Linked DNA regions of Drosophila melanogaster. The protein of the gene in region 1 interacts with the protein of each later gene in a pairwise test. Each region holds a gene or a part of one and is shown on either strand. Other genes may lie near its edges.

Region 1 (3,498 bases):
CAGTGAAAATACCTTGGGTGTTGGCGAGCAAAAGCAGTGAAGAGTAATTCAGGCCAGGAATTTAGTGTGTGGGATATACAGAGATATACATATTTTATGAAAATTGCTGGAATCATACAATTTGTGTTTATTCTATAATATGGTGTGATATGTTGCCATTTATTTGCCAGTGCCTGAAATATGAGCTATACCTTTCTATATGCCTTATTCTATATTTTTTTGGTTTCATTTTATCTGTGAAATGCAGAAGCATAAAAAATTATCTTAAATCTTAATAATATAATTAGTTGCAGCTGCACACACAGCGACAACAATCTCCTGGCAAATATGATTTTCCCTACTCTCCCAGTGCGCACAATTTGATTATGCCATGTCCAGCAGCTATTTTAGATTTGATTTTTCTGCACGTTTCTCAGTTTTCGCAGCGTGATGTTTTTGTTCGCAACCAAACCCCTTTTCACTCGTTGAGTATTTTTCATATTTTAATTTAAATTAGAGGGCAACACCCACTAAGCCACTCACTGGATGACGATGACTACGAGGAAGATGATGATGGCGATGGCGATGGCGATGGCGATGGCGATGGTGATGATGACGGCAGCTGCAGACAGTGGAAAGCTGGTCGTAACTCAGTCAGACACTCGCTCCGAGCTTAACGCGCTGATGTATGCTAATGAGCCGGCATTGTCGCCGGATCCGTCTGCTTCCCTTGCTCCTTGCTCATCTCTGCCTCCTGATCCTGCTCCGGACCTAACTCGATTGCCGGGGGAGGAGCTGCAGCCGGAGAGCTACCATAAATATGCATAATGCAATTAACAGCCAAATGTAATTGCAAGCCAGAACAAGGAGTAAAAAATAGAAAGAGGAAAATAAAGACAGACTGGCATTAGCAGCTGACAAACCACCCGCATGGCAGTCACTGTCCCGTCACATCACTTCACATCACATCTCTCTTGGTGAAGCATGACAGTCGCTCTGCTCCTTTGGCTTTGCATATGCCCGACTTTTCCGATTCTCTGATTTTCCGACTTTCCCGGCCTGGCCAACCTGTTCGCTCGCACACTTAATTAGGCTATTAAACAATTGCAGAACGCATGCTTGCTAGGCCTGTCTCCAACCAGTTTGCAACTCGCAGTTCCGCCTCGGTCCAATCCAAAATCCGATCCGATCCCAGCCGAATAGCATCGAATCTGCCGCGAATCTGTGCCAAATTTCGCATAGGCACTGCCTAGCCAACTTAAGGCCAAATCGAAAAACCGACAAAACTGAATAACCGTTGCGTGCCTAGGCCCAGTCAGCGTCTTTCGATTTGGCCGTGCCTGTGTCTTTACACTGGAAAAAATTGCAACCAATACGGACGAATAGTATACATTCAATACTCTTGTTACTGTTTGTTTATCATCGTGGATGGATTTATCTCGAGTTGATTATCTGAACTGAGTAGATATGCGAATTCTGGATATGTTTATTGTATTTCTTCCAGTGTGGCCTGCCTTTTCCTCCGTCTATCTGCGCGTATGGCCAACTCCGCTGGATTTACTTGACTTGGCCTGGCTGATTGGGCGCGCGTTGTTTTGCATTTCCAGGCCAGAAACAGCGGCTGCGTAATAAAATGCATTTTAATTTGGCTAAATGTTCAATTAAATTTAAACATGCGCAGTCCGCTGTTTGCAATTTTGTGTTGCCTGTCGCCGTTGCATTGAAGTTGAGTTGCAGGAGAAGTGAATGTGTGCGACAGGACCCTCTTCCGATTTTCTCCAATTTTCAACCAGCTCTTTTTCGTCCAGTAGGCCTCGATCGAAATTTCGGATACCAAGCAAAAAATTTTAATTTAGCGATTCATGTAACGGCGTTACGGTATACAAAAATTTTCAAAATTCCACTTTCATTAAAAGTTTCGGCTAATGTTTTGGTCCTCCCTACTAAGGGGCTTCAGCTCACGTCAGAGCGGCTCCTCGAATAAACCCCCAAAACCTCCAAGTCCACCGAAGCCACCATCGTCACCATCTCCACCAAAGTCTCCTTCTGCCAAACGAGAATGCAAGATCCGGACGCACTGCATTCCGGCCGCCTTCTGCGCCGAAGGGGATAAGTTCAAGTCGATGTGGGATCCGCCGAAGAACCTGCCTCCGCCGTACCCCTTCGTGGTCAGCCGATCAAATGACTTGTGCTGCGAACCCAACTGCACCAAACCACTGCCCTCATTCGACGAGCTGTATTACCGTCCCTCCTGCAAGAACGGTCCTTACCAGCGCCACTGGGTGGAGTGCCCCAAGTTCATGATCCGCAAGAAGATAATCTGCGCCTACGACAAGCTGGAGGCTCTGAGCCCCGCCCGTCGGGTGGCCGAGCGGCGCGAGCGGACAACGCTCAGTGCCACAGCCACAGGACCATGTCCCCATTTCGCTCCGTTGGCACGATGCGTGCCAGGACGTCGTCCGCCCAGATGCCACGCGGCCAAGACGCCCTCCTGCTGCCGCAGGTTGTGTGCACCGATGCCCTGCTGGTCGGATTGTAAGCAGCCTAAGCTGGCCAAGCGACCATATCGACCTCGCGAGTGCGAGTGCCGATTCCCCCTGAGCCTCTGCGAAGCGGAGCGGGGTCGTCAGTGGGTCAAAATTCATGGTGAGAACCACGTCTGTCCCAGTGCCATAAAAAAGGCCAAGAAGGCGAGAAAAGACATGCTCAAGAAGATGAAAAAGGATAAGAAGGATAAGGGCACGGATAAGAAGAAAGATAAGAACAAGGATAAAAATAAAAAATAAGTTTTAAAGGTTATGTTTATTTCTTTGGTCATTGGTGCTCTTGTATTACTCGGTTTCAGCCTCCAGAATTGTTGCTTTGTACTTGCTTTGGCCAGACTCCAGATCGATTAAAGCCTGCTTCAGAGCCATGCGCATAAGTAAGCGGGACTCGGACTCGGTCAGCTGAGCAGAAACTTTGTACCGTTCTCTATCTAAATGGATACCTGTGCCGAATTGGGGTTCCTGGTTCAACGGCTGCTCTTCAATTGACTCGGTGCTAAGGCTACTAGTAGGCTTCTTGGCAGGAACTTCGATAGTCCTAAAGGGCCTGTAGGTGTGTATGGTTTCCTTAGGCTGAGTGTCCTGCGTGTCATCAGTCTTGGGAGTATTCTCATTGGTTTTTGAAGGACTGGACTCTTGAGTATCGCCAGCAGACGCAATTTGCTCGATTTTGTGAGATTGTTTTATTAGCTCCTCCCCGAAGTCCTCATCGGAAATCGAAGACTCTGAAACTACCGAACTAGATTGATTAGTTATTTCACCGGTTAACTCAGAATCCAAAGACTGATTTGCTTCCATCTCGTGATCCAATTTAAGTTGATCGGTGATATCCCTCGTTAGTTCGGAATCAAAAGACTGGTTCGAAATCTCGCTATGATCTAGGCTCTCTACATCACCCAATCCAGATGGTTCTGAGAGCGCACTGGCTACCTCCGAATGCATAGAATCTGCAACACCTAGCTCAGATTGATGG
Region 2 (6,245 bases), on another chromosome or scaffold:
GCATCAGCTGGGCGGACAGAGTCTCCACGCTGGCTTCCCCATGAGCCTTAACGATCGCCTCGAACTCCTGTTTGCCATGACGCACCTTCTCGAACGGAGAGTGCGGCAGACTGTTGCCAAATCCGTAGCACTCGCCGTTCTGGAAATCCTCCAGCGTGGGCGGCACATTGCTCAGCAGCTTCACGCGAGCGGGCTGGGATGCAGATCTGTTGAGAACGAAGGCGTGCAGTAGATGGTATCAATGTTTCGCTAATGGTTCCCTAATGTTATTGCATATTATTCAGAATTTATACGTATAATTCGGAGATAAAGACAGCATAAAGCAATATATGTACATACTAATATGCATATAATTAGAATATATAATAATTCAGGTTAACCTGAATGGGCGCAGACTCACCCAATTTCGATGGACACAAAGTTGAAGGCAGAATACTTGGTGCAATCTTTGAGCAGCCTTTCGTTGTAGTTCAGGATGCTGTGCTCCTCGTCCGCCCGGGTAACATAGTCCGCCACAATCATGCCGCGCCCTAGTAAGAAATGTTCGTTATTCGATTGCCCCCTACTCGGATTCGTATTCGGGTTCTGAATTGGATTCGGATTCGGATGACGGTAGCTGTTGGAGGTGGTGGTCTTGGGGCAAAGGTTAATGCCGGTGCTGTTGCTGTTGTGATTATGCGGTTGCAAAATGTTTTTGTGCGCTTCAAACAGAAAACAGAAACGAAGAAAGTTTGTTTTTGCTTTGCTTTTTCTTTGGTCGCGGTTGTGAAAGTTTTAGTTCGGGCCAAGTGTTAGGTGTATGGATGAGTGTGTGTGCGTGTGTGTGCGCGTCAATTTGGATTAGTAAGTAGCTCAAATGGGTTTACCAACTGCATCGCGTGGCTTGGGCTCGCCGGTCAGATTGAGCAGGGCGCCCACCTTAAAGAAGCCAGCGGAGTGGCCGATCGCCAGCCAGGTGCCGCCCTCGCGTCCCGGCTCCAGATCGATCCCTGAAATGGGGGAATACATAAATATTTACTCAAGTTGATCCCGCACTCATGGGTAAGATGGCTTGAAATCCAATTAGGTTGCTGGGAAACAGATCTTGTGAGAGGTGTTCATTCTAACAAACTGCTATCAAATCATCTTAGTGACTAAACTATAGGTAACATCTTGATGAATACAAGCTCTCAAGGATTATACTCCATCTAAGCATAGGCATTCAAGGGCATAAGCCCCACCACTTACCTCCGTAAACATGATCGGCATTCGCCCACTTGGCTGCCGATAGGGTGGCGCGGGCAAAGAACTCGTCCCGATTGGAGGCCAGGATGAGCTTGTAGCCACCCGGTTGCGGATTCGAGTCCGCACAAAAGAATATCACGCACATCGTCGGAATCCTATACTTATTTGGCTATTGTTGCGATTTGTAGTGCCTTGAGGTTGTGGGACAACTGCGAATGGGATCCGGAAAAGTGGGCTTTAATCTCGGTGGGGCGTCGGTATCAAAATGGCAGGTTGTTCGGCTCAGTCTTCTCTTTGTTACTTTGTGGCAGTGGAACTATAGCGCCGGTTTTATCACCAAATAGCCGTACGTACGTACAGCTGATATACAGTCTTATCCGTTGTTTGCGAGACCAGCTAATCTAAGTGGTAAATGTAAATGGTTTGGATTGGTGGGTGTTCTCTGTGAGCCGTGCCTCTATGTGATATATACATATCTACGGGGCAAAAAGCATTCCCGTTAACGCAAACAAAGCAGTATTTTCTGAAATTTCAATGACCGGGTTGCCTTGTTTTGATTTCTCTTTTAATTTTGTTTTTGTTTTGTTTTGGCGTTGCCAGCTGACAGGAGAATCGATAAGAAAATCGTTAACACTCTGCTGCCCTGTGCAATATTCTTTTAGCTATTTTATTAATTGCTAATTATTTATTTGTGCAGTCTATGACTTATCTTAATTTGTACTTTTAAATTTGAAGATTTTAGTTCCTCATCGTGCGCTGAAACAATGATTGACCAATATGATTGTGTAATTTATTTCCAAAGCCATATATAACGTATATATAAACATATTAGTTTTTTTTGTCGCCTGTGCCGATCCAGATAACAAACTACTATTTTGAAATTGGCGTAACAGGTAGGTAGGCATTATCGCCAGTTGCCCATCTCTATTGTATGACCGTGGGCCCGGCAATCGATTGGCTTACAACTTATCGATGTTTGAAAACTAACCAAAAACCCTGTAACATAGGCTTGTAATTAAAACTAGAAAATACCATTACATAGCTATGCACTGCAATGCATAAATTAACTAACAGACCTATACAGGCCCTTAAATTGGTAAGAAAACTGATCGCTAAAATTAAAGCGAAAGAGTGGATTTTTTAGGACAAAAATACCGGTCGGTCGAGAACATTTGGGGGGAAAATCATGTCGCCATCTGGTAACACTGGCATTCAGCAGAGCAGTGAAAACGACGTTAATATTTCTGATCAATTAAACAATTGGAAAATCCGGCCGCAGATCGCGATCTAAACGTATCGCCCTCGCCACGCCCACTGCCGCCCACGCCCCCTGGCGCGGGGTCACATCGATAGAGAGCTTTGCGTGTGTGTGTGTGTGCGTGCGTGTATGTGTCGGTCGAGAGGAGAGGTGGAAGACGAAGAAGAATAAAAAAAACAGGCAGCGAAAAGCGATAAGAAACGGAACACAACACACTGGAAAAAAATTGCGATAAGAAACGGGGCGGAGCGGAGCGGAAATTGCCAAGACTCTGGGATGGATTAGCGGCACAGCCGGACTCTGAGGTTAGCCAACAGTGGGATTAGGACCAGGAACAGCCATGTCCTCCGCCGTTAACATCCAGATCGTCTCTATGCCGAATCTGGCCAAGATCGAGAGCTTCCTGAAGGATGTCAGCTACCGGGAGACGATCGAGTACAGTGCCAACTTCAACACGCGCCTGTGCAGCGAACGGCGCCACCGGCTGCCCTTCCTCGATCCGCAGACAGGCGTCGCCCAGAACCACTCGCAGCTCTTCCTGGACAAGCGACAGCGGATGCCCGGCTTCCGGCAGGGCCAGATCTACACGTATCCGGCGGCCCGCTGGCGGAAGAGCCGTCGTCAGTACTTGAGCAAGATGTACAGGTGAGGAATCGTAACCAATCGGTGCGGGATTTGAGTGACTGGCACATGCACAAGGAAAAGTTAGGTATAACTCTGGCGAAGCAAATTAGAGCTTGGAAATCTAGGAGTCTGTTACCTATGGTAATCTTATTTAAAACGAGTTAGGTTAGAAGAATATCATCTGTGTATATGCCATTCAATCTCATCAAATCCTACATTTTTCGTTGGGTGAGCTCCATATTTATCCCTGCTAATAACGAACTTTCCACTTATACAGCCGCTTTCCCGAGCGTCCCTTCCAGGCGCTACGCAAGGAGCACGAAGCTCTGGTGGCCAGCGGCGTCAATCTGGGACTGAGCAGCCTGACCAGCGGTGTGGGCTCCATGCCCGGCAGCAATAGCCTGGCCAGCAGCTCCTCCCTAACGCTCAATATGCTTACGGGCGGCGGAGCCGCGCCGGCCGTACTTGGTTCCCTGCACAGTGACACTGCCCACGATTTTAATGGAGCCTTCAGCCTGGAGGAGTCCAGCTCGCTGGGTGCCGCCGGCGGTGATACATCCGACAGCAAGGACAGTCAACAGCAACAACATCAGCAGCACCAGCACCAGCAGCAGGCCGTCAAAGAGGAGCTTTTGCCCAAGGAGTGGTTCTACGATGACATGGATATGAACGATGTGGACTCGCTGGAGGAGCCCAAATCGCCGGCGGATGATGAGTACGATTATGATCCGCGCTATGGTAACAAAAAAAGGCGCAAGCGGCGACCAGGCAAGCGAGGTGGAGATTCCGGCGGCGGTGGTGGTGGAGGAGGCGCCGGCGGTGGCGGCAATTCCGGCGGTAGCTCCAGCTCGCGGAGACGCAGTGCAGCGGCCAGGTCGCGTATCACAACGACGGATGCGGCGCTGGACGCATCGCTGGAGGCCATTGAATCTGGCGAGAGTGTGCCAGGCAGCAATGGAGGACCAATCTCCAGCGGAGGCATCCTAAGCGGCAGCCTGGGAGCAGGCTTAGCGGGAGTTTCGGGATCCGGCGGCGGAGGAGGAGCATCGGGAGCTTCGGCCAACAGCCGCAGATCGCGGGGAGCGGGAACACGTGGCAGGCGACGAGCCAAGGGGCCAAATAGCGCCGTTGGAGCGTCTTGCGATCCGACAAGTCCCGGCATGGTCATCGAGCCACCATCCTTCGAGAGTGCCGCTGCTGCGGTGGGCGTGGTCGAGGACGCGAACGCCCATCTGCGCAACTATCGGAAGTATCTGTAACCGCTCTATCAGCAACTAACTGGACGTGTAATCAATCAAAGCCTTGTTTTTCGCAATGTTTTCTCGCCTATTGAATCGACCTACTTTTTCGCACATAATTTAAATATAGTTTTTAAGCCTTAGTTGATCACTGTTTGTTGCCCCCCTCCGACAAAAGGATAAAAGCCAAGCAAGAAATGAAAGAAAGGAAACAAATACATTGTGGACCAGGGACAGAAACAGGATTAGAATCAGGATAACGATCAGAACCGCGCACCAGGCCGTAGCCAATACAATTCCAATGTTTCGCCTCTCTTAACTTTACGTTCCCATAGCCAATTGATTGTTGTTTTTTAAACTAGCAATGGACTGGTGAACTTCTACTATAGGATAACTTGAGCGGAAACTTATGGATGTAGCAAATATTCTTCGAGCAATTTTGTAATGTAGGAAACCCTTTAGGCCATCAATTATTAACGTTGTATAAGTTAGACAATGAATTTAAAAAGAACCTTTTTCGTCATCGTTAGGCAATTCGTAATCAATTATTTTCGGGCATCATCTATGCCATAAGTGAAACAGCACAATTTGAACTATGTATAGTTTTGCAATACACGACTATATTTCACATCTGGTTTCCGAAGTTTTGCTTAGAGCAGTTCGCCAGACCATTGCATTATATTGTACATTATATATATGGGTGTACAGACATTATATACATATATATATATATACATACTTGCATGCATTGTATTTGCGACTCTACTTAAGGCAAGTCCACCTTTTGGACTGGCTCTCCACCTAATCGCAATCTCTCGGTTTCTGTTGCTGCATGTTCTTAATACTATTTCACCTAGCTCCCCACCCCTCCCCACATATTATATTCAATTTTTTTTATTTAACCAAAATTTTAGTTAAAAAAGAGACAATTCAGATTGTAATCTATTTAGGCAAGTGGTAGGGTATCTCTAGCATTAGAAGAAGCTAAAAGTAAAAACAATTTCGTAAAACCAAAATTTTTTCTCTAGGATCATAATTATTAAGCTGAGCTAAAAACGAAAACAAATTTTAACTAACTAAGAAGGGACAAAATTGAAATAAGATCAAAAAAGGAAAACATGTACATTTTGGAAGAAAAATCAAAGTCCACAAAATTTTAACGAATGAGAGGCAAAAAATCAGACAAAAATGAACCACAAGAGAATGAAAAAAAAAAACAAAAATGGAAATAGGTTTCTAAGATGTTTTAATATATTTTGTAATAACAATGCTCGAGTATTTTTCATGTATGTAGTTTTTGATCCAAAATTGAGCGATCAACAAAGGCAAAGGGGTTCTCAACGATCGGTTCCTCGAGAGGATTTGCCAATCATCGATCATAGGGCTCTATTGCTGAACGCTTTGTTTTGGGCACAACTACCTCCTCCGCTTGGCACCGGCAGTAGCCTCGTCTGTGGAGGATCTGGTGGTCCGCTTCCGTTTCTGGCTGCTAGGGGGCTTATCTTCGGCAACTTCTTCTTGGGATTCGGATGCCTTTGCCTGCTTCTTTTGGGCTTTCGGTTGTCTCTTCGTTTTGACCAACTCTTTGGATTGCTTCGCTTCCTTTGAATCGACTTGAGTTGGCTCTTCCTCGGATTTCTGTTCCTTTTTGGATTTACGCGAAGTTGAAGTTGAAGTTGGTGCCTTCGTTTTTGATAAAAACAATATTTAGTTAATTTTTTCTGGACTTATTGGGCCTTCCCTACCTCGTTTTCCTGTGCTTCCTCTGTGGACTCCGACTTCTTTGGCGATGCTAGAGCCTCGGACCCCGGTAAATCAATTTTAGATAACTTCTGCGTGTTGATCTGTTCCTTGGACTCCTGCTGGTCACCTAGAATCCCTACAATCCGATCGTATACCTC
Region 3 (4,369 bases), on another chromosome or scaffold:
ACTCTCAGGTGTTCTGGTTAAGCGCGACTTTAAGTACCACCTCTTGGCTCCTTCTGATCTGGGCAGTAAGTAATAGTTAGTTAGTTTCTTTGTAAAAATGTCGATTCATTTAAATAATTCCCACAGAATACACGGATATGAGCATGTCTGTTGTAACCCAACGCCAGTCGATTCCCTGGGGCAGCTCGCTGAGCACTCTAGAGCTACTGCTGGATCGCATTGGAGCCGGATGCGTTGAGGTGCTGGAGGCGGAGCGAAAGCTGCGCGTGTTCGGCTGCATCGAGCTAACTGTGGAGCAGAAAATCATTGTGATGGAGTGGCAAGCGACGCATGTGAATGATGTGTACGCCGATGCCGTTCTTGCCTGCATCATGCAATCGGAGTTGGGCGGAACAAATCTGAAGGGTGCCACAAAGCAAACCAAGTCAGAGGACTCGCGCTTTCGGGAGTGCCTAATCGAGACGCTACAGGACACCTTCGGCGACAACTGCGTGCCAAAAATGTTCGAGGGCGATCTGCTGCCAGTGACGGTGAGCGGTAAACGTGCGGAAATAAATCTGGAAACCCTGGTGAGTGTTCGTCGAAGGTGCTTTTTAAAATCGAAAAATATCGTTAATCTACAATCTTTCCAGGCCATCAGCTGTGCCGAGGATGATGTGCTGCGACAAATGCTCAATACGACGGTTCAGAAGTTACACCAGACCCTAGTCTCCGCTCTTTGAAAACCATTCTATTCCGCTTAATAAATCTCCTTGTGTTGAAATGTTCTTTTTATTAATTGATTCAATGTTGAAAGTACTATAGTATGCATGAGCGAAATGGTGATTTTTCATTTGTTTCAGCCAGAGTAGTTTCAGCGCTGGGTACTCTTCGCAATCTGCTCTTTGAGCATGACAATACTGACCCGTTGCTCGGAGGGCAGCTGCGCAATCTGTTCGTCGGACAGCTGCAGTACCTGCATGATGAGGGCAGCCTTCTCCTGGTCGGAGGCATCCGAGGGCAGGACTCCATGGGCGCCTAGTCTGCTCTGCAACTGCTGAGCGGCCGCCTGCTGTTGTTGTGTCGGTGGCGGCGCTTGGGGGATTCCTTGTGGCGGCGCCTGCTGCTGAGGACCAGGTCCTGCCCTTAACCTGGGATCCATGGGACGCTGGCGCGGATCGCTGGGATAGGGGGCCGGTGGCGCCTGCGGAACGCCCTGCTGCTGCTGTGGGGGCATCTGGGCACGAGCTCGGGGATCCATCAGCGGCGGTGGCACTGGATTGGGTAGAGAAGCTCGCAAATCCTGGTCCATGCCACGGCCCATCATCCTGGGATCCATCGGCATGGGTCCACCCGGCACCATGCGCAAATCGATATCGTTCGGATGGACATTGGCCGGGAAGCCAGGTCCGGGAACGGGCATTGGTGGCTGGGGAGCCTGTTGCTGTTGCTGCGGGATCTGCACCTGCTGTTGCGGAACCTGTTGCTGACCCATCATGGTGTGATTCCCCGGCCCCTGGTGCGGATTGCCGCCCAAGACGGGGGGCATTTGGTTGGCCTTGAAGAGCATCCCGAGCGCCTGCTGAGGGTCCACGATCCTCATAACCACCATGGCCTGGAGCAAAGCGTACGCCAACTGAGGATTGAGCATTAGCATCTGGCGTGCCTCCGATGGATTGCTCACGATGCAGAGCTTCATCTGCTTCATCAGCTCGTACATTTGCTCCGGCGGCAAGGAAGCCACCGTTTTGGTGATGAGCTCGGGAGCATCCTCTGGTTCGCAGGGCTCGCCATAGGGATTCTCCACCTGGGGTCCCTGAAGCAGCTGCTGCATCTCCATGCGCGACTTCTCCGTACACGCGTTGTCCACTCGCAGTGTTCTGCCGCCGATCTCATAGCCATTCAGATTCCGCATGGCACTTAAAGCCGTCTCCTGGTCCTTGTACTCGCAGAAGCCAAAGCCCTTGGGTTTGCCACTTTCCCGATCAAAGACCAGTCTGGGGGATTGAGAATAGGAGGTTTACAGTGAGATATTGCATGGCTCTAAGTAGGGAACTCACTTCAGTGACAAGACCGGGCCCACTTCGCTGAAAATCTCCTTTAGCTTCTCCTCGGTGGCCTCGTAGGGTATGTTCCCCACAAAAACCGACCGCATGGACTTGTCCATTATACTTTGTTCCTGCGCCTTATCTGCCATATCTGTTGTTTGTTATTATTTACTGCACAAACTCGACAAAATCTTAGCAAACGTTGACAAACTTGTCTAAAAAATTCCCTGCGTTCCGGCTTGCTGTTTCTTCTTCTTCCTTGAATAATTTCCCTTACCAGGGATTCATACTTTTCATATACTTTTTGGGAAATAAAGCGGTATGGGACGCAAAATATTAAACAAAGTGTAATAACAGATACGCAAGCCATTTTATTTTATTTTCTTATCTAAACACCTGAGAAAATAATTAACAGTATTGGTCTAATTTTTGGGATTCTCATCCATTGCCATCACTTAGAAACGTAGTATTTAGCAAGAAAATAGCTAAATGCCCTGCTTAGCCAAAAATACCACCACTGCTAGTGCTGGTAAGTTCCCGCAGCCCGCATACGTTTTGCAGCACTCCAACGCCTGGTGTTGTAATTTTTCTTGTCGCAAGGTGAAAACGATTTAAACGGTTTTTGATAGTGAAAAGTGCACCAATATGCACGAATTGTACACCAAATTGTAGATGAAAGTGGCGTTTATTCGTTTTCTATGCGGCAATAGACAAAAAACGGCTCGAAGTGCATGAAAAACGTGCTTGAAAATATTACTTTGTGTGTAGCCACACGCACTCCAACACACACAAACGCACACACACACAGACAGAGGGAGATAAACGCAGCGATGGCCTCGCAGTCGCACTCGCACATATAAAAAGCTCGCTTGTATATTGGAAGAAGGAGCGCACAAAGCGGAAGACGAGAGGAAAGATTTCTGTGTCATTGAACGAGAAAAAGAAGAGAAGAGAGCCTCCTGGCTCCTGGTCCTCCTGTTCCAGTTCCTCCTCCAACTCCACTTCCTCTTCATCTTTAAGCGGCCGCAGGTGCACCACGCTCTTTACATTTCCAAGGATACGCTCTCAGCCGCTCTCTCTCTCGATCGATACTGGTAATTAGCTGGCGTCCTCTCTTTGTGGAAGTGTCATTCCATTCCATGGACGAAACGAAAACGAAATCGATGGCAATGGCTGGTGAACAAAAGCGGAAATATGTGCATTTTTAAATTGTGTGTGTCTGTAATTATGTGAATAATAATCAGCAGAAAAAAATCGTACAATAAGTGGCAAGATCAGCGACATTAACGCACACAAACAAGCGCGCGTGTGTGCACACTGGAAAAAAGGTTGGCTGGCGATTGTTGTCGCTGCAAACTGGGATACTGGAATAAATCATAATGCATTTACGCACCGTGTGCTCCTCAATTTTTCGACAGTCTGTGTGTGCATGTGTGCATGTGGGTGTTGTGTGTGCGTGGTGTGTGTAACCTTTGGCAAAGGAAAAATCAATAGCAACAGACGTAGACATTTGTTTGCCGCTGTTTATGTGCAGCCCTCGCATTGTCCTTCGCCCCCAAAACAAAGAGCCACCCTTGCAGAGATGGCCAAATCCCAAAAAAGAAACAAGTGAATGTTGGTCTGCAGACAGACTATAAATAAAAGCAAAAGTTATCGCAAAAGGCAAGCAGCAAAAGGCAAACCAGATGAACGGCCAATAACTCGTCAGCAGGCTGGGTCTGGGTCGTTGCCTCTTTTTTTCCGATTCTGATTCCGTTTCTTCCTGCTGCTCTGGCTCCCCGAGAGAAAAAAGCTGCTCCAGAAGTTGTCTCACCCATCTGCAACCGGCATTCCAATCCGCCATTTCCATTGCCCAAACAGGACCTTCTAATCAGAATTCTTATGTTGCTCTACTCAGAGAATGTGGTTAATATGAACGGATTCGAATATAAGACATGGCTTTACTAAATCAATAGAATCGATTTAAAATGGCACCTCTGATTTCGAAAATGTGGAATCGACTTTAAGGGTGACTGTGTTGAGGTTGGGTCTGCTTTGTGCTAGAAAAGTTTATTGACTCTTGTTCTCTCATTTTGATCCTTTGCGATCCTCAATTATTAAATATGCCTTGTATGTTTAATTGTACTTATTTGGTAGCTTTCTAAAGAACAAAATAATTACTGGTAAACCAAAATCATTATAATCATCATATTAGAAATGCACTCGCTGTTGAAACAATTTTATTTTTATCATGCTTTTATTTTGTTGGCTTTTAAAGAAATTACTCACTACAAGAAACTTCCAACGAACGTTTTTTTACTGATTATTTGTGCTACCCCCGATAGTAAAACATTTGTGGTTTT
Region 4 (8,326 bases), on another chromosome or scaffold:
TAAATTTTTATAGTTCCAATTGCCCATTTGTTTGGAATTCAAAATTTTGACAAAACAAAAGAAGATGGAAGCATAAGAAAGAATGAAATCTTTCGAGGAATATAATATTTATAGCCTAATTATACACCTATAATGAAAATATACATTCATGGCGAATGCGAATGAAACGTTAATTGCAATCTACAAGTAAACAATTGATATATTAACGATGTATGATCGCAGTATTTGCAGCTAGCAAAATCCAAATCGATTCGAATGTAACGAGCATATAATGTTAAATTTGTTTATATAATCTATGAGATGGAGAACTAAGCCGAACAGGAAATCATTGACAATTGTTAAAGCTCAAATACTTATTAATTGGAGGCTAAGGAGGCTGGAAATTGAAAATAATTAACTATGCAAGAGCATTGAAAGTTAGGACAACCATTTGCATTTCTCACTCACTAAAAGACACGAACACACTGTGGCACTTGCATTTTGAAGGTATACAGAATTCCGAATTATATTAAAACAAATTATTGCAGTACCAGTTTTATTTTTTTTTGTAATACTTGTTAATACCTTTTCTTTCTGAACTATAGGGTTTTAACCTCCAGCAAACCAGCCACATTTTCTCTATATATCTCTCACTATTTATCAAGAAAAAATAACAACACAAAATTCCCAGCGGATCCAACGAAAAGATCCATAATTTTAAATTTTAATTTTAAGGCAACTCTATTGTATTTGTTATGTTATTTAGTAGTTAGATTCGAAGAGGCCTAGGACCTCTCAATCTAGTTTCAAAGCAGGAATATTGTATTTATTTCTGATAGCACGATCCGCTGGGATAAGTTATATCTATCTCTATATAAACACATACAGCCAACAAGATAACAACATAAAGAGTTTTGGACAGATTTCAATGGCCTATCTTTGTTATTGTTACGTCACAGTTATAAATCTTAAAAGTTAAAACAACGAAGCTCAAATGAAAATTAACATTTTAGACCAGATTAGTAATGAAACAAAATTAGAGGGCGGAAACCACATATGATATATATTCTTCATTGGATTTGGTTACCTTAAACGTAGTATAGAAATCTTGATATCATTCCACTTTAAAAAAGCAATACCCTTTTAAGTTTTCACCCCCTTCAGTTAACGAAAAGTGGTTTAGAAAACACTGCCTATAGCTTAGGAAAAAATTGAAAATTCGCCTCAGCCTGAATTGAAGTAAAAGTTAACGTAATTATAAAATTCAACATTTTGCCATAAATTTCTATTGTGGTTTCCCCCCTTAAAACCATTGCGATCCAATTTGATTTAAGTTTTAGAGATTCCCATTGTTATATTGTTTAAGAAACCAATTTTAATCAAAACGCATGAGCATAATATTAAAAGATCTATTTAAAAACCCCTGTATGGATCTAATTTTTAAATTAATATTAAAATTGAGACAAGCTGCGCTGATTCATGAACGAATTTAATTTGCCAAGTTTCATAACGAATAGGAGTATTTACAAACAGTTAAAAACTAAACTAAATCAGAAACTAAAACCAATATTAGCCACGAATTGTACCTTTCGATTTTGAATTTAAATAACACTCTCGGTATTTGCAAGAAAAATAAAAGAAATAAATAAAAACAATAAGGCAAAGAGTAAACGAAGCTGCAATAAAAACAATTGATGTTTAAAAGTACTACGTTAACAAAAACAAACACGTTTTACGTCAAGCAAATAGAGCTAATTTAAAAGATTGTTATCCTCTCATTTTTTAACACGAAATAGAGATCCTAAATACAGAAAACCAAACAAATTACAAGTTTTAATAAACGCATTCAAAATGTAACGGAACGAAATTACAATTGTAAGAGATGAAAATAATAAATGCAAAAATTCAAGTATACATTCAACGAGTTTAAATTTCAAATTCTGAAAGCTGATTTTTTTTGAAAATTGTACGCAGAATAATTTAGGTTTGAAACTCGACTTGTGGCCATTGAAGCTTTGAACCACTTTTGTTCAGTGGTATATTTTGAGAATCTTGCGGTATATTTTAACGGTCATCAATGGTCACACTCTGCAGGCGCTGGTCACACTACAAATTTTCCAAGTCTTTCATATTCCGGAAAACAAAACAAAATTAATTAAGTAATTAGACACGAAGTATCTAGGAAAATGCACAGGGAATCACGGTGATTAAACGGAAATGTGGAGAAGTATCGAAGCGTAAGAATCGACGGCGACCGTCAGTCCACAATAACACCACCCACGAGCAACAATAACAACAATACAACTAAAACGGGAGGCAACTGCAAATATACACACACCGAGAGAAATCAAAATAAAAAGGTACAGAATATGTGTGTGTATGCATAATTGTTTGATGAAAAATAGAATTACTTTATATTTAAAATATATCCCGGATATTTGCGAGTGTGTGTGTGTGTGGGAGAGTGCGACAACAACATCATCAGCCATAGACGAACAACAACAACAATAGCAGTTTGACCCCCGCACAGCTGTGAATGTTTTCCATCTCTCTTTGGCGCCCGCAATCCCCATCGCCCTCTCTCTCTAATTTCGCATTCTGCTGCCTTGAATTCAAAATCAAACTTCCAATCGCCACATACATATTTACCTCTGTTTCCAGCAATTCGCCGTTAGTCGGGAGCCCTAAGCTGAGAACGTGCATTTGTACATATACATATACATGTGGATCTCTATAACTTCCCCCGTTAGCTTAGTTGCAATATTTTCTTTGTTGTGCTATTGCCATCCCTTTTGCACACCACCCTACCCCACCTACCCGAAAACTACGCACTTTGCTTTTGGCCTGCTTATTGCGTTGTGTTTTCGATTCTCCCCCTGTTTTGCGTTTCAAAAGTCTTATCAGCACGAACAATTAAATGTGCGCTTTAAAGCTGAGTAATAAATTGAATGCTTTTACATCAACAACAATTTGCTACCATTTTCTGCCCCTCCCCCACACAAGCGTACACACACACACATGTGCAGTCAATGACCCATTATGCATGTGTGGGGGGAGGTTGCAAAAACACGAAAAACGAAATCCACTAAGACGTCTTCCTAATTTTTGACTTTGATTTTGAGTTTGCTTTCGAACCTTTCGCTTAACCGTTGCATTTGACCTCGTTAAATCTCCTCCTTCATTTGCTTTTGGCATGTGTATTTGTATATATTTTGTTGCTAGGCTCCACACGCACACACTAAGGCAGTGACATGTGTGCAATTTTGAAGGGCATCGCCACTTCGGCTTTTTAGCCTCTCCCGTCTCTCTACCCTTTCAGCCCACTCCCCCTCCTATTACCATTTCCCGTTTCATTTCTTTCTCTAGCTTCTTGTTTTTCTGGCTTTGCTTTGCCTTTGCTGCATTTCACAGCTGTCGCTGTCCTTGATTATAGCTTTTCTTTGCTTTGCTTTGCTTTACTTTAGGGGCTCTCTTCGTCCAATTTGTTGTTGCTCATCGCTTTGTTATTATGATTTTCCTTTGAAGGGGGTCCATTACACTAAGAAAAAAGAGCCACATAAGAAGTTAAAAATTTAACGTAAAGAAGCTAACAAATTTATTCCATTTACCATCTGGTTTTGCCTTGAAGTATGCAATATATTCGGCAGACTACATTTTGTTTCTATTTCACCGTTTTCAATATGTTTATATGAGGAATTTGGTAACTATTTTATTACTTTTTTATAATTATATTGCCTTTATTTAAGTACTCATTAAGTGTTTGGAGCTGCCATACGCAAATATATTTCTAATTTGAAATTGAATCGCAGTTTAGTTTTTCCCGTGTACTGCACTCAGCAATCTCTCTCTCCCTCGTCCCTCTTCTTCCACCCGTCAGCCCCCACCAACCTTCTCTCTTTTGCGCTTGCTCTCCCGATTGTCGCTCTCTGCTTTATGCTGGCGTCGCTGTCGCCGTCAGATGCTCGTGAGCTCCAACGTGCGCTGCTTTCTGCTTTCTGCTTTGGGGGCTCGAAACTCTGTTGCCAGTTAATTTTCAGTAACTAGTTGAAGTAGACAACAAAACGAGCGAAAACGAAAACACACACATATGTAGGCTGATATATGTGGATAGGGGAGACGGAGGGCCAGCAACAACTAAAAACATCATCACCAAAAACCACAACAATAGTTGCAAGTAAATAACAAAGTCACAAAAATCCGTCTTATATAGGTATATTTGCAAAAAGTTTAAATTTAAATATTTAATAAGTGTGTGATTATTTAACGGTGATGCCAATGGTGATATTATAAATGAAGACATTCATAAAGAGTGAAAAGAATTCCACCTCCAAGAGACAACAACAAAAGCATCAAATTGCAGCTGACTTTTATTATTTTGTTTGTTTATTATTGATGTTGCTGCTGCTGACTTGGTTGCTTGGTGATCTTCCATGTGGTGGCATCACAAGTACACACGCACACTTCCACTTCCACTCAAGAGTCTTGCACAAAAGCAATGCAATGCAAAGGCAACAACAGCGACAGCGACGAGAGACAGTATTACTTCGCTTATTGCGTACAGTAAGGCCAATAAAAAGCAAAAACAACAGGCACAGTAATGCTTCTCCACACAGAAATCGAAAGAGAATTTCACAATTTGTTAAACTAACGAAGCCAAACCGTGACAGAAAGACAGAAACGGAAAGATTTTTGATATGTGGTGGCCATAAGGAAAAAAAGAGATAGGGGGCGATAGGGGAGCCAGCGCACACACACACACACACACACACAGAAACATACAATCACATACAAACACTTGACAAAGTACAAGAGAGTAACAGCAGTAACAGCAGAATTAGCTCATCCCAAAGCGTAGAAGAGTGGTGAAGAGAGAGGGAGAGCCATAGAATGGGGCACAGTGGGGTAAAGCGATATATTCAGAAAGAATATATTATAATTTGAAAATTTTATTTTTCCTGAAATTTGTGTAACAGTTTTCATAATTCCGTAACGTTCGTTTGATTTACGTTGCTGATCGATCTGCTCATGTTTCTCACATCCCCACTGTACATTTGTTGATTTCAAGATTGCGGTGGGGCTGCCCCTCTTCTACTCTCTTTCTGGCTCTCTCTCTCTCTCTCTCTGGCAGTGCTCCGTGACTTTTGAGCAACAACATTAAACAGCTGAGCTTGTTTGAAAACAACAGCCACCCAACCAACCAACTAGCACAAAAGCCCTCACCCACCGAAACGGGAAACGGAATTGAAATTGAAACGAAATCGCCAAGAGCAAGTGAGTGGTGAGAGAAAGGATGAAAGAGTCTGTGGAGGGGAGGGGAATAGAGCATAACGGTATCCCGAAAGTATGCAGCAAAAGTCCGCTGAAATCCGTTTCGAAGGACGGCGATTTTTGCAAATGGCAATGAGAGTGAGAGAGCTGGAGAGAGAAAGCGGGAGTGGTAGTGGGTGGATTTGGGCGACGACGTCACAGATTGCTGACATAGTTTCCTCATTTAGGCCAAGTATGCATGTGCATGTTCTCTATGTATGTGTGCGAGAGCAAGAGATTCGCTGGTGACCTACATAACCATGAATATAAATATATATACGGGACATAGATAACTCAGAAGGTAACTCGACCTCCTCCAGATCATATCCCCTGACTTGGCGCCACAGTCCCAATTGGCTAAGTTAAACTTTTGCGTGATAAAATTACCAGTAATTAAATGTGCATTTTTAGAGAACATCTTATAAAAAAGGATAAAATTAGAAATGTTAGGAACACTTTAAAATTTAATATATTTATTCCTTAAAAATATCCTATCTATATTTTTAACTCCATAACGTCTGAAAAACTATAAACTTAGAAAGCAAAATTGTAAATAGGTATTCAAGTAACATCCCAATACTTCCTTAAGTTGATGTCTCTATGCTATAGATGACACCACCTGACCTATCTCTAATTTGAATATCCTTGCTTATCCTTGTGTCCATTAATTGCCATTGCAGGCAGCTCCCGTTTTGCTCTGGACGGTGCCAGTGAGAGTTGACGAATGCGGAGCAGTTCGTGGCTGGCGGAGCAGCAGCTGGGCAACCGGAAGCGGATAGCGGATGTAACTCAATAGCAATATTTCAAAGGAACAACATTAAGCATACAACTTATAGATAACAAAGATAACACCGCCTTAGCCTTAGTGAAAAACAACGAGGAGACGACCACTCCAAAACCAAATCAAATCAAACCAAACCAATCAAATCAAAAGCCAGGCAACTACAATCCCAAATAAACCAACAAAATGTCCTCGCCCAGTGCCGGAAAGCGACGCATGGACAACGATGTGATCAAGCTGATCGAATCAAAGCACGAGGTGACCATCCTGGGAGGCCTCAACGAGTTCCACGTCAAGTTCTTCGGTCCAACGGAGACGCCCTACGAGGGCGGCGTGTGGAAGGTGCGCGTCTACCTGCCCGACAACTATCCCTTCAAGTCACCGAGCATTGGTTTTGTGAACAAGATCTACCATCCGAACATTGACGAATCCTCGGGTACGGTGTGCCTGGATGTTATCAATCAGGCCTGGACGGCGTTGTACGATCTATCGAACATATTTGAATCGTTCTTGCCGCAGCTGCTCACATATCCCAATCCGGTCGATCCGCTCAATCGGGATGCGGCCGCATTGTACCTGCACGAGCCGGAGGAGTATCATCGCAAGGTGGCCGACTATGTGCAGCGCTATGCCACCGAGGACGCGTTGCGGGCGGCGCAGCAGGAGCGGGAGAGCAGCGACAGCGAGTCGAGCATGTCCGACTACAGTGAGGATGAGGCCAGGGACATGGAATTATAATATCGGTTGGACCGCCAGCCTACGGAACTACCGCTAACACTAACACTGACAACAGCCTAATACAAATGCTTCGAGAATCCATTTTCCTGCCACCCAATTTCCCCAAACAAACACACTCACTTATACTTTCACCATACCCCTTCAGTTGGCGATGGAACAAAAAGCAACAATATATATATATATATATCTATATATATATATACATAATTGATAAATGATAATTGGATTTTAAGATAGAAAGTGATTCGATGATGGCGTGTGATGATCAGCGCACACACGCAGATACATATAAATATATACATAATATATATATATATATACACTAATGTAAGCAGAAAGAAAAACAAGATTTAAAAACTCTTAGTTTAGCCATCAGTAGCTGATAACAAAACGGATTGGAGCAACGATCGCAACAGATCATAGCAGATATATAGACCACAGTAACAAAAAAAAAATGGAACGGATGGAAGAGCAAAATAGAAACAAACAGAATAGAAACACAAACAAACAAACAAACAAAACCGATAAAATACAGATAGCAGAGATAAAAGCATAGATGCAAGCGCAATTTAAATGGTTATAGTAAGTGCACATGCAATGCGAAATTTGACGAGAAATTGCTTTGGCCTTGATCTGGCATTAAACAGACTTCGATGCTCGTCGTTCTTTAGAGTTTAACAAGTTGATAGAAAACGTAAACACAAATACCACCATCAAACATAAGTTTTTGGAATGCCCTCACCACATATAAATACCACACGACGATAACCCAATTATCCAATTTGCAATCCAGAGGAACGGAAACCTTAGAACGATCGATCGATCAGCAAAACTGCGGATTATTATTTGTTCTTATGTAATAGTGTGTACTTTATATGTTTGTCTTGTTTTTGTTCCGTTTAATTGTAAGCGCGAATTTTTTTTTATTGTCTGTATATGTGTATTAAGATATTTGGAAACCGCAGAAAATCATCAGACTTAGCAGCACTTTCTCTGCCGAAAAGTAAAAAAAATATATATCAAAAGGTGAATACGATCGATACTAAATGAAATGAAATAGAAAGCCAAGACAAATCCTAGAGGAAAGGCATGGAGGCGATTGCGTGGAACAGACGGAATAATCGTTGCAGTTCTTTTTCTTGTTAATTAATCTTATTATACGGTTATTATGTAATATTTTAAAATAGGATTCGAATTGATCGTGTAATTAAATGCAATAATTCTTATGTCTAACTTATGTCACCCGTGTTTAAGCCAAAAGCATATATTTTTTTATTATAATACATTTTGTCTTTACACCACATTTACTACATGATTTATTGTTCTCTCTCTCTCTCTCTCTCTCTCTTAGTCATCTCTCTCCCTCGTTCTCGCTTTTTAAAATTGTTAATCAAATTGGAGAAATGGAGAATTGGAGAACATCCGGTGGGTTGGAATTTTGATGAGGATGTGATTTTTAGAAGGCGGGTTCTTAAGTGAAATCAAATGAAAGTGCAGATATATAGACATTAGCGATCTACT

Evidence for each region.
Region 2: the proteins of CG11635 (region 1) and tth interact in a two-hybrid assay, tested with the Drosophila melanogaster proteins (one large-scale study listed by BioGRID).
Region 3: the proteins of CG11635 (region 1) and CstF64 interact in a two-hybrid assay, tested with the Drosophila melanogaster proteins (one large-scale study listed by BioGRID).
Region 4: the proteins of CG11635 (region 1) and UbcE2H interact in a two-hybrid assay, tested with the Drosophila melanogaster proteins (one large-scale study listed by BioGRID).

Annotation. Positions count from the first base shown.
Region 1 is NT_033778.4:8,356,703-8,360,200, forward strand, and holds CG11635 (uncharacterized protein), read left to right. Parts: upstream 1-1,835; 5' UTR 1,836-1,904; coding exon 1,905-2,765; 3' UTR 2,766-2,770; downstream 2,771-3,498. Other genes in the region: spaw (spacewatch), read right to left, coding at 2,811-3,498.
Region 2 is NC_004354.4:13,612,558-13,618,802, reverse strand, and holds tth (toothrin), read left to right. Parts: upstream 1-2,216; 5' UTR 2,217-2,822; coding exon 2,823-3,127; intron 3,128-3,383; coding exon 3,384-4,365; 3' UTR 4,366-5,610; downstream 5,611-6,245. Other genes in the region: Tango2 (transport and golgi organization 2), read right to left, coding at 1-206, 401-701, 867-989, 1,228-1,369.
Region 3 is NT_033777.3:18,657,512-18,661,880, reverse strand, and holds CstF64 (cleavage stimulation factor 64 kD subunit), read right to left. Parts: upstream 2,264-4,369; 5' UTR 2,177-2,263; coding exon 2,040-2,176; intron 1,977-2,039; coding exon 854-1,976; 3' UTR 755-853; downstream 1-754. Other genes in the region: Cpsf73 (cleavage and polyadenylation specificity factor 73), read left to right, coding at 1-65, 127-569, 633-722.
Region 4 is NC_004354.4:8,087,788-8,096,113, reverse strand, and holds the start of UbcE2H (ubiquitin conjugating enzyme E2H), read left to right. Parts: upstream 1-2,049; 5' UTR 2,050-2,339; intron 2,340-4,000; exon of another isoform or gene 4,001-4,189; intron 4,190-5,966; 5' UTR 5,967-6,253; coding exon 6,254-6,805; 3' UTR 6,806-8,326.